Caenorhabditis elegans: one gene and its partners. The protein of the gene in region 3 purifies or fractionates together with the protein of the main gene of each other region. This does not show direct contact. Each region holds a gene or a part of one and is shown on either strand. Other genes may lie near its edges.

The links. The genes of interacting proteins can lie anywhere in the genome.
Region 1: the proteins of rps-19 (region 3) and E04F6.6 fractionate together in Caenorhabditis elegans (co-fractionation; one large-scale study listed by BioGRID). This does not show direct contact.
Region 2: the proteins of rps-19 (region 3) and eef-1B.1 fractionate together in Caenorhabditis elegans (co-fractionation; one large-scale study listed by BioGRID). This does not show direct contact.

What each region holds. Positions count from the first base shown.
Region 1 is NC_003280.10:7,196,594-7,201,232, reverse strand, and holds E04F6.6 (uncharacterized protein), read left to right. Parts: upstream 1-1,667; 5' UTR 1,668-1,867; coding exon 1,868-1,959; intron 1,960-2,154; coding exon 2,155-2,253; intron 2,254-2,298; coding exon 2,299-2,460; intron 2,461-2,505; coding exon 2,506-2,643; intron 2,644-2,690; coding exon 2,691-2,940; intron 2,941-2,991; coding exon 2,992-3,324; intron 3,325-3,478; coding exon 3,479-3,712; 3' UTR 3,713-3,841; downstream 3,842-4,639. Other genes in the region: pcrg-1 (Parkin coregulated gene protein homolog), read right to left, coding at 18-106, 176-271, 376-511, 567-622; maoc-1 (MaoC-like domain-containing protein), read right to left, coding at 3,842-4,030, 4,094-4,571, 4,618-4,639.
Region 2 is NC_003281.10:7,971,585-7,975,030, reverse strand, and holds eef-1B.1 (putative elongation factor 1-beta/1-delta 1), read left to right. Parts: upstream 1-1,644; 5' UTR 1,645-1,760; coding exon 1,761-1,837; intron 1,838-1,955; coding exon 1,956-2,386; intron 2,387-2,433; coding exon 2,434-2,567; 3' UTR 2,568-2,649; downstream 2,650-3,446. Other genes in the region: aco-2 (putative aconitate hydratase, mitochondrial), read right to left, coding at 1-115, 185-443, 1,099-1,184, 1,229-1,306; F54H12.5 (uncharacterized protein), read left to right, coding at 2,929-3,062, 3,107-3,301. UniProt on the Caenorhabditis elegans protein: EF-1-beta and EF-1-delta stimulate the exchange of GDP bound to EF-1-alpha to GTP.
Region 3 is NC_003279.8:9,624,304-9,627,670, reverse strand, and holds rps-19 (Small ribosomal subunit protein eS19), read left to right. Parts: upstream 1-1,874; 5' UTR 1,875-1,879; coding exon 1,880-2,090; intron 2,091-2,133; coding exon 2,134-2,303; intron 2,304-2,504; coding exon 2,505-2,564; 3' UTR 2,565-2,603; downstream 2,604-3,367. Other genes in the region: Protein hsr-9, read right to left, coding at 1-532, 581-1,009, 1,054-1,120, 1,168-1,204, 1,372-1,396; T05F1.2 (F-box associated domain-containing protein), read right to left, coding at 3,065-3,261, 3,307-3,367.

The sequences.
Region 1 (4,639 bases), on a different chromosome or scaffold from region 3:
TCTTGAAATTCTCTCACTTTTCACCGGCTCCTCCTGAATGAATAATTCTGACATGAAGATCTCCACGAGAGAAAAGTGCTCGGAATTGACTGCAGTCATCAGATACCTGATAGCTAAACGATTAAAAACGTTTGAAGAAAAATAAATGAATCTAAATAAAGAAAGGAAAACTAACATTAGAATCAACGCTTCTGGTACGGCTGGGAGCAATCATTGGTAATGGGACAACACTTGTATTTTGTTGATACGATTGATAGGAGAATGGAGGTACCTGAAGTTTAGGAAACGATTTTTTTTTTGGAATATAATTAATACAAGCTCTCGCAGTATTTCTAAACTGTTTCTCTCATATTCGAATTTGCCCTATAGAGTTACCTTTCGAACAGCAGGATCTCGTGGGAGACTCGACTTTATTAAACGAATATTCTCTTTTACAATATCTCTATTCCGAACGTAGTATCTTTTTGATGTTGTCCAATCGGAAATATCCGAAAAGTAATCGACAGGCTTTCTGGAATAATTTCGAAATGTTAATAAGAATTAAAAAAATGTGGATATCAACTGACACTAATCTGATAGCTGGCAAAGACTTCTCTCGACATTCTCTATTAATTTTTGCCATCCCAGACGAATATCACTAGGATTAGATGGAAGACAGCGTGATGGAATTTTAAAGAAGCCTTGTGAGTGAAAAATATGTATTACAGAGTCAACATGTCGTGAGCATAAGTGTCAAAGGGCTCTTTGATAGAGGAAATAACATATTTTATGGTTCACAGAGCACCGTTTCCTGTCGACTTTCAAAATGTTGCAAAAGCATGACGATCAGAGTAGGCCCTATGCTGTTCTAAGGAGCGTCTCTGTGCTATGACTAAAACTCCAAAGAGTACCCAACCTAGAGGGTGACACTTTCTGCCAGTGGTCCAGGGACTTTCGCTCACAGTTAGCGCGCTCAACAGGGAACGTTTCGTGGCTGCGAGTACTCGCCTTGCCGTCATGCGGCCTTCTCCCTCTTCTCCTCTTGTTTATATATACACCCGCTTTGATGCGGCAGACACTTTGAGGGTTTCGCCTGTCACTATTGTTGTAAAGGGTACACCCGCCTATATCTGACAGAATGAGAGGAAATTATTATTTTTGTGAACCTCGTATTGGTTATAATTGAAGAAAATATTTTTTGTTCTGTCACATACGCGAAAATTTCGATTTTTGAGCCAGAAATTCGGGATCTGCTCTCGACACGACACATTTTTATTAAATACAAAAAAGTGTGTGCCTTTAAAGAGTACTGTAGTTTCACATTTTTTCATTGTTTTTCTCTCGATTAAAAAAATAACAGTTTTTTCTGTTAACTCGATGAAAACTGTTCTAGTTTGAAACTACAGTACTCCTTAAAGGTGTACACTTTTTTGTATTTAACAAACATATTTTTTCCCAGAAATATCAAAAAATTCCCGACTGGGGAAACTGATTTTTTGAAGCATTTTCAGTATTATCGAAATAGTACCTTGAAAGTTTTTCAGATAATTTGAGATAATTTGAGATTTTAAAACCCTTTAAAAAACATGACTCAACACGAAGGATTCTGGGAATTTATTTTATATTTGATTTCACACGCACTTGGTTCACAATGTAATTCCAATCATTCTCTTAATCACAAACCATAGGATTATTATCAATGCTTAGACAATAGGAGGCTATACAAACTACAACATCATCTATTATTTTCTACCGGTCAGCAAGGTCATACGGGCGGTTGACTTGAAGTGAAGACGTCGAGAAACCCTCTGCAGTAATCATTATTTTGTTGCTAACTAACCTTATCAGTTAAACTCAGTACTGCTTTGTCTTCTCAGCTTTTTTGACGATGTTTCGTCAACTACTTCCATTCCTCATTTTATTGATTTGGAGAAGTGAAGCTCGACCTCAGGATGGAGGTGAACCAATTCCAATTTCAAAGTAAGCTTAAAAAGAAAAAGTTATTGAAAATTTTTATTTCCGCGGAATTTTTTAATAAACTTATAGATAAGTCTTTTAGCGTAAACAAGTCTTGTGAGTATATTTTTCAAATTTTATATTAATTTTATGCTCGACAAATCTGTAAAAAAGTTGCCAAAAAAATTCCGATATTGTCTTATAACTTAATCAATTTAGAGACACATCACCTGGAAGACCAGTTTATAATCATTCTCCAAGTGAATTCGCACGGGGACAAGTAGAACAGACAACCCAAAAACCTAGAAGAAGGCATAGGTGAGCGAGATAATTGAAGATCCAGAAATAAGTTATATGTTCCAGACATCGGCGTCCAAGTTACGATGATGCTTACGAGAGACAGATGGAACAATGGAGACAACAGAGAAAAGAAGCGAATAAGGCTCGACAGGCTGCTTCAGACCAATATTATCAGGATTATTTCGATCGAATGAAGCAGTATGCAATTAATACACATGTTAGTCGGTGAGTAATTGAAACTTTGGAAATATTCAAAACTTTATTTTAAAGTTATAACCAACTTCTTGCTCAACAAGAAAAGGAAAAACAACGATTTGCACAAAATATGGAAGAATTTGGATTGAGGAGCTCTGCTCTTGGAGTTGATCGAGCTGATATTGATAACAGTGAAGTATCTCAGAGACCAAGGTACCTCTAATAATTCAGAAAATATTCATAATCGTCTGATATTTCAGTTCACCATTTGGAGGTATAACTGATAAGTCACAGATTGATCAGAAGGCAAAGGCAGCTGATGTTCGAGGAATGATTGTGAATAGACCACCATCAGCAATTGAACCACGTCCAGAAGATGCAGATGTACACAGAAAAGCTTTACACTTGGAAGCACTGTGCAATCGATTTTTACCAACTGTCAGGAAGCATTGTTTCGGTGGGAATAAGACAGAGGAAAAGTATGGAAGCAAATGTAAGGGATACTTCCATGTGAGTTTCTAGAAATTGAATTTATATTATATTTGAATGGTTTTACTTTAGGATTGTCAACGATTCCTTCCAAAGTCAGATCCACTTTATAATATTGCATATGCATTTGATTCAAATGTAGGTCTCAACTTGGGAACATGGAGTGTGAAAGGAATTCCGTACTATCCAATTAACGAAGAAGGAGCAATTGGAGCAGGAAGGCTCATGAATGTTCCATTTGGTTCATGGGGAGGAGGTTATTCCGATCATATTGGTGTAAGAGACTATTGGTCACAATATCAAGAAATCGGAGCAAATTGGTATGAAGGAAAATATGGATATAAGTCTGGATGGAGTGTTCCACTTGTACAATCACTTGGTATTGAAGGAGACACACATGCTGTTGTGAGTTTTTTTAATGCAGAAAATTTATTACTCGAACTTTTTCAAATTTGGCGGTTCATAATTTGAATTCGAGTTTAGAGAAGCATTGCGTACATTTTTTAATATTTGAAGCGGTGTGTGACAAGTTGAATAAGTTCCTATCAAAATATTTCAGGTGAGTGTTCCCCTTAAACCTGGAGAGGCTGGAAAACCAATTGGCGTAGATGTTGGAGGTGGAGTTGGACCTTATTATCAACAGAATCAACACGTTGGAGTTGATTATCTAAATGGTCAAGTTGGTACAAACTTTGGAGTTGGTGTTCCGATGGCTGGTGTTGGGGTGAATACAGGTGTTGGTGTAACATTCCCAGGAGTCAATGATATTGTTGGGAAGAAGAAAAGGAAATAATAATCTTCAAGAGAATTTGTGGAAAAAGAAAAAAACGGTTTATTCACATATGATATTCAGGAAACAAAATACGATAAAACTAATACGATCTACTTAATCTTACCAGTGAATAAATAATTCTTTAAATTTTTACAATTTTGATGCAAGATCAATTGGAACTGTTGGAAGTTCGGAAGCCTCGTGCAAGTCAATAAAGGCGTTGGAAATTACAATTTTTCCAGTTTCCTTAACCTTCATTTGGAAAATAATTCGTTTTCCATTCTTCCAGGTTTCAGTAACCAATGTTTGTCCTGGAAGCACTGGCGATGAGAATCGAACCTGAAAATTAATGATTTTTGAATCAGCAGAAAATATTTTAAAGTTAAATTTAATCAAACCTACCTTGATTGCTTTGAATTTGTCAGAATCATTTCCAGCCCAAGCAGCGATAACATGGCGTGTCGCAAATCCCAGACTGCACAATCCATGAAGAATTGGAGTTTTGAATCCAGACATCTTAGCAAACTCTGGATCAACGTGAAGAGGATTCATATCTCCTGATCCCAAACGATAAAGAGCAGCTTGATCAACTGTTGTCTTTTGTTCAATAACTGCATCTGGAGCTCTATCTGGGACAGTGGCAGCTTTTATTTCATGAGGTGATGTACGATCCCCTCCGAAGTTACCAGAACCGGTTTGAAAAGTACTGAATTGTTGCATTGCAATCTTCTTTCCATTTTCATCATAAGTGGTAACATTTCCAAGAATCAAAGCACCGGATCCTTTGTCAAGAATATCAACGACTCTAGCTTCAGATTTCAATTTTCCTTCTGCTGAAAGTGGTTGATAGACTTCAATATATTGTTCTCCGTGAAGAACTCTAAAATGATTAAACATGTGTTTTCAAGAAATCTTATAAGAAAAACCTCTGAAGATCAAATTCAACTC
Region 2 (3,446 bases), on a different chromosome or scaffold from region 3:
AAGCGTAGTTCTCAAGAATGATTTGATGGATAATTCCAGATCCTGGCTTCCAGAATCCAACTCCATATTTGCTTCCAGCAGTAGCAAGGAAGTTGAAGACTTCTTTGTTGAGGTCCTAGAAATCGAAATATATTTAGGGTGAAGAAAATTTAAGTAAAATAATTTTTTCGCAAATATCACAAACCTTAGCACGGGCCAAATCTTGGGCTCCACCCTTTTGAGCTTCAATCAAATGATCGCAATGAATAGTTGATGGAACAGCTGTCTTTGGAAGTCCGGAGCTGATGAATTGGAGCATAGCCATTTGAGCGGTAGCATCTTGCATAGCAACACGATCTGGACGAAGACGAAGGTATGAAACTCCTCTCTCAATATCTTGAGTTTTTGGTTGATCCAAATGTCCATAGAGAATCTTTTCGGAAAGCGTCAATGGACGTTTCAATCTGAAACAATATATTTTTTGTTTTTATCAGTAGAAAAACTAAAATCTATTTTTAAAGTTTTTAGTTAGACTTAACGATGTTTCCTTCATGAGTTCAAAGTACTGTCACACGGCAAATATCACCTCGGCTTCAAAGTTCGACCAGTCTGGAGACTAGAGAATGTGGTCCACATGAATTTCTATGCAACGTTCAACTAGATAATTTTCATAATTTCTATTGTGACATCACAATTAATGACACCAGAAATTAGATTTTGCATCATCAAAAGTTGAAAAGAATAGTGATGTACACTTATGAAACTGTATTATGGTCAAAACGCCCTCTCACAACATGTTGACATTAATCAGAGAACAGAGATGGAAAAGATTCGACGTTTTCTTGGTTCTCTCAATGACGCTCTAACCCATCTTCTTATTACAACGGAACTCTGTTTGTTTCTCTCTGCGACCCTTGGCTTGTGACTGCGATTTGGGTGAGCTTTCACTATTCGAGAGTTAGAAATAACATAAAAGAACCTATAACTGAACTGTATGTGTTGTAATGTCAGTGGCGCACATGACTATTCACCATAAACATCATTAATTGTATGATAACGAACAGAAAGCAGTGAAGATACTTTGTACTTGACAAGCTAAACAAATTGAACTTTACACACCTGTCTTTCACAATCTTCACAGTCTGAGATAGTTTCTCGTACGGGAGGTACGACTTCGGCTCGAATTTACTGATTGCAACTTTGCTCTGAAAACAAAAGATTTATAATAATTATGCTTAGGTTTGAATACCCAGATGGACGAAGAGGAGTGAAGTGCGCGATAATGTGCAGGTCCAGCCAAGTGGCTCAACCGAAGAAGAGAATTCATGGTTTCTCCTGTAAATTACAGAACAATGAAAGATTTTCACAGAAATTCCTGTCCGACAAAGGGAAAGAAATAGAACCTATTTAAAAAAATTAAAAGAAAGGATAATATTCATAAACACAGGCCTAAAACTTAATTTGGAACAATTAAAAAGCTTTTCTCTGCAGTAAATAACCCCTCGGAACGAAAACAAGTGATTCCGCAGCGAACCGAAAAGAAAATGATAACGCATCGGTCAGCAGAGACGGCGTGCATGCCGAAAATGAATGGGAGGAGAAATGAAAGCGCGAAACTTGGGCGCCTCCGGTCAGCAAACACGCCATTGAATGATCACTGGCGCTATGCTCGTTTGAAGGCGCATGGGGTTTCGACAGACTTTGAGTCTCGCAACGATTTTATTCACTAACCTATTTGTAGGACTTTTAGCATCATTCCTTCGTGTTTCACTCCTGAAAAGATGGTTGCCGACGTCAAGAGCCCAGCTGGACTTGCTGCTTTCAACACTACTCTCGCCGAGCAGGCTTTTGCCACTGGGTTAGTCTTTAAATTCTGAAGTTATGCAATTTTTAGGAAAAAATGCAGAAAATAGGTGTAATCAACTCTTGTAAATTTTTCAGATAGTCTATTCATTGAAATAATTTGAAAATTATAGCTTCGTCTTGTCTGGAGAGGACGCCCAACTTTTCGCCGCTCTCGGATCCGCCCCAAACGCCTCCACCTATCCAAATGTTGCCCGTTGGTACGCTAATGTAGCTTCTTACACTGATGCTGAGCGCAAGACCTGGGCTTCCGCCGGAGGATCAGCTCCAGCTGCCGCTGCTGCTGATGGAGATGACTTCGATCTTTTCGGATCCGACGATGAGGAGGAAGATGCCGAGAAGGCAAAGATCGTTGAGGAGCGTCTCGCCGCTTACGCCGAGAAGAAGGCCAAGAAGGCTGGACCAATTGCTAAATCTTCAGTCATTCTTGATGTAAAGCCATGGGACGATGAGACCGACCTCGGAGAGATGGAGAAGCTCGTTCGTTCTATCGAGATGGACGGACTTGTCTGGGGAGGAGCTAAGCTTATCCCAATTGGATACGGTTAGTGGATTGAAATTCACACAATTAAAATTTATGTAAACTTTCAGGAATCAAGAAGCTCCAGATCATCACTGTTATCGAGGATCTCAAGGTTTCGGTTGATGACCTCATCGAGAAGATCACCGGAGACTTCGAGGATCACGTCCAATCCGTCGACATTGTCGCCTTCAACAAGATCTAGAGGAATCTTTATATTTCTTGTTATGTTTTCATCAAGATAAATGAACCCATATATTGCAAAAAATGTTACAACATTGAAAGAAACACTCTGAGCATCAATAAGAAATCCTCCCGACTACGAAAGCGAAAAAAATTGTTTTTTAAAGAACTATGATTAAATTAGAAGCACAGTTCATTCTCTTCTGAAAATCGTATGAAGTCTCATAATTGCACAAAGTTACGATATAAGAATAATTGGAAGGGGTAGACTGAAGTGGGCAGGGTCACCACTATACAGTCCAGATTCCCGTTCGCAACGAGACCATATATTTTTACCTTGTGGGAAAACCAATCGATGTTTTCTAATAGTAAGTAGACCCCGCATGCTGTTCATCTCGAGATCTCTTCTCCCCATTTTGTATTTCCAGTTATTCAAAAAAATGTCACCTTTTCGTTTATTATCACTTCCTACACTTGCTTTGAAGAATGTACTTCTTCATATAGACTTTATTGATTTGTAAGTTAATACTTTATATAATAAGACAAACACCTTGAATTCAGGTTGGAACTATCACTTGCTTCGAAAAAATGTGAAATTTACATGAAAACTTGCTGCTTAAAAATTGATTCCTTGCATTTTCATTTTCGACGTATTCAACTAAACTCAAAATCCAAATCATTAGAGTTTGATTTCAATTCTGTTGTCGATATTTCTGCGTGTTCACGAAAAGTCAAGGGCAGCCGATATGACGCATGGTAAGTGTTGGGACATATAATATATGTACATATATTTCATTCAAGTTACAATTAGGTTGGTCCTCGCTTAACATCTGAGGATTCTGGCTATTTTTTCACAATAAAAACACTGCAGAATTTTTGTGACTTTAATATTTTCGAAAAC
Region 3 (3,367 bases):
CATTCTCCGTAGGATCAATTACTTCATCTCTGTCTCCACCCCTGGAAGATCGACCACGCCTGGGGGTGCTGTTACTAACAATGGGCGTTTTCGTTTCATCTGCATTCACTTCCGATTTTTGCCCACGACCACCACGGCGTGGAGTGTTTGACGAAGGAGTAGACGAAACAGTTGCTGAAACTCTTTTAGCGCGACGAGTGCTGCGGCTAGAAGATTGAGATTCTTGGTTCTCTTCATTTGCTTCTGATTCTCCATCTGGCGATTTTGAATCGAGACCAATTTTTTGAGAATCATCAACACTGTCTTGTGAAATCTCACCAACGCCTGGTTCAGACGCCTTGTCATCATTAACATTCTCAATAGGTTCACCACTATCTGCTTGCTCTTTCACTGGACTTTCTACTTCAACCTCATTTTCGGGTTCCTCTGTATCGTCCTCATTCTCTGGTTCTTCTTTCTCGTCGCTCACACTACCTCCTTTTGGAGAATCATCTTCATGCAGATCGTCGTCATCTGACGTTGACACTGCCTTCTTCAATATTAATTGATTAAAATTAGGTTTTTCGAATTATCAACAAACCTTAGTTTTCTTTTTTGGAGCTTCGTCTTCGTCGTCTTCTTGCACATCATCAATATCTTCTTCATCTTCATCTCCAACCACCTTTTCTTCATTTTCTTCAGGTTTCTCGGTATCATTTGAAACAGAAATCGATTCAGCAATGTCTAATTTATCGTCACTAGTATCCATCGAGATAATTTTTTTCTCGAAAGTTTCTCCCTCTCCTTCTTCAATTGGTGATTCAGACTTTTCCGAGTCGTTCATGCTTTCTCCAGATTTAGCATCCTTACCGGCTGAACATTGTGGCTCATCTTCTGCCTTTTCTTTATCAAGTGCAGTAACATCGGCAGCTACATCTGGCTCGTCTTCCGCTTCTATGATAACTGATGACTTGGTAATGACACTCGAATCGACTATGTGCCCATCAGGAGTTGAATCTCTAGCTGGGGTCTAAGTAAGCAAATTTTAGATTAATACAAACACACTGGACTTACAGAAATCACAGCAGAGTTCCCAAAAAGACTCCTACTTTTATCCAGAACTGAAGTTGTTGTGGGGAGGCTGAAATAGTGGGATAAATATGTATGGATACTCGAAAAGCAGGTAACCTTGTCTGTGTGACGGTGGAGTCGTCTTCTTCGAATTCTGAAAACAGAAAATAAAAGGAAAACTTCACGTAAGTTAAGTTTAATTTTTAGAGTCGATATTCACTTCGAGTGACCACCTTAATTTCAATAAGGTTGAATTTTATATGCTTGACCCGCAAAAATATTAATTAACCTTTCACATTCTTATTATATCGAAAAAATTACCCATAGTGTTCGAAGACGATGCCATTTTCCTCCAAGCAGTTCAGTTCTTCAAGTCTATGCTGTAACATATGTGTTTAATTTTGCCATTTTAAGCGTAAAAGTGTCTGCGAAACAAAAAGTTACGACGTCAAAAAAAATCGTTTGAAAATTCAATTCAAACGCCCGCCCCCGCTGTTCAAAAAATGTACTGAGTGTCGCCCGGTGCGTTGCGGTCGCGTGCCGAGTCGCTACGCAGCCAATTGGTATGCAGGTTATGTCTTACGATCAGCGGTGAAGAATTTTTTCGTTTCTTTTCCTACAGGTTTTTTCAATTTTTTGACGCGATTTTCACGGTTTTTCGAGTTTCTATGTATTGATTGGGAGGAAATATGTTACGTTTACAGTTTTCTTAAATAATATCCACTTTCTGAAGCGCTTGTTGTTAAGAATAGTTTTTTTGGCAGTGGGTTTTCTTTCCGTCTTCTAATATACGATTTTTTCAAAGCTATACTTTTCCTTTTCAGGTAAAATGACGAGAGCGACCTCCATCAAGGACGTCGACCAGCACGAGGCTACCAAGTCCATCGCTCACTTCTTGAAGAAGAGTGGAAAGGTTAAGGTTCCAGAGTGGTCCGATCTTGTTAAGCTCGGAGTCAACAAGGAGCTTGCCCCAGTCGATCCAGATTGGTTCTACACCCGTGCTGCCAGTCTTGCTCGTCACTTGTATTTCCGCCCCGCCGGTAACTTTTTATTGACAAAATCATTACTTATTTTTCTATTTAGGAATCGGAGCCTTCAAGAAGGTCTACGGAGGAAACAAGAGACGTGGTGTTGCACCAAACCATTTCCAAACCTCAGCTGGAAACTGCCTCAGAAAGGCTGTTCAGCAACTCGAGAAGATCAAGTGGGTTGAGAAGCACCCAGACGGCAAAGGAAGAATTCTCTCCAAGCAGGTGAGTATTCTATTTTATTATCTAAAAATATAAAATTCGAACTTTTTTGTAAAAATAAATTATTAAAAATTATTCATAAATATATGCGCTGAAAATTAAACATGCAAAATTAGATGTTTATATTAAAATTAAATTTCTGCATGTTTTCTTTTTTGAATTTTCTCGAAATTTTCAACATCGTACTAAAACTAAATTTTGCAGGGACGCAAGGATCTTGACAGAATCGCCACCAGCCTCAGATCCTCTGGACAACAAGCCTAAACACTCGTTGTTTGTGTTATAAATGTTGTTGTTATAAAAAACTTCATGATACATCTCCATTAACAAGAAAGTAAGATGATGGCGCAAATTATGAATCAGAAAAAAAAGTTATTAAAGAAAAACTTCGCCCGAAACGTTTGAATATATACACCTGTATAGTTCTCACTTTTTTGAATAGTGAAATAATCAGTCTACAAAATATTATACGTCTTTAGTGGACCTTAGAACAAAGCTACAGAACTTGAATACAATCATTAATATATCTACTTGCTCTTCCGAAATCAAATTTGAAACATTATTAGCAGAAACTAACTTCCTATTCTGATACCCAAATTATTTCGCTAAACATCGCGAAAGGCATTTCTGATAAAGAAAATAAAATACAGGGTTAAGCTATTTATGGTTTCACAAACTTGCGATCAATTGGAAGTCGGAAAAATTTTAAAGATTAGTTATCATACAACGATAGATACAATTTTTAAATGAATGTTGGTGGACATTTATTTAGATGTAGAAAAGCGGAATCTAGCAAGTTCGCATGCGAACTTCTCGTTGTGAATTGCCGTGAACAAAATGTTCTTCTTATCTTGGGAAATCTGGAGCAATGCACACGCACCTCCGTGCCAAACAGTCCTACCCGGAGTAGATGATACCTCGCCATTCGATGAAGTTCCTGATACACCCGAACCAGATCGGTCTAAAAATTCAACTTTTAACTAGAAATAATTATCTAGAAATAAACCTCGAGATTGAGTCTCATCACTTGAGTTTTGTTTACTGTGCTGCCCTGAGGACATGTTTTT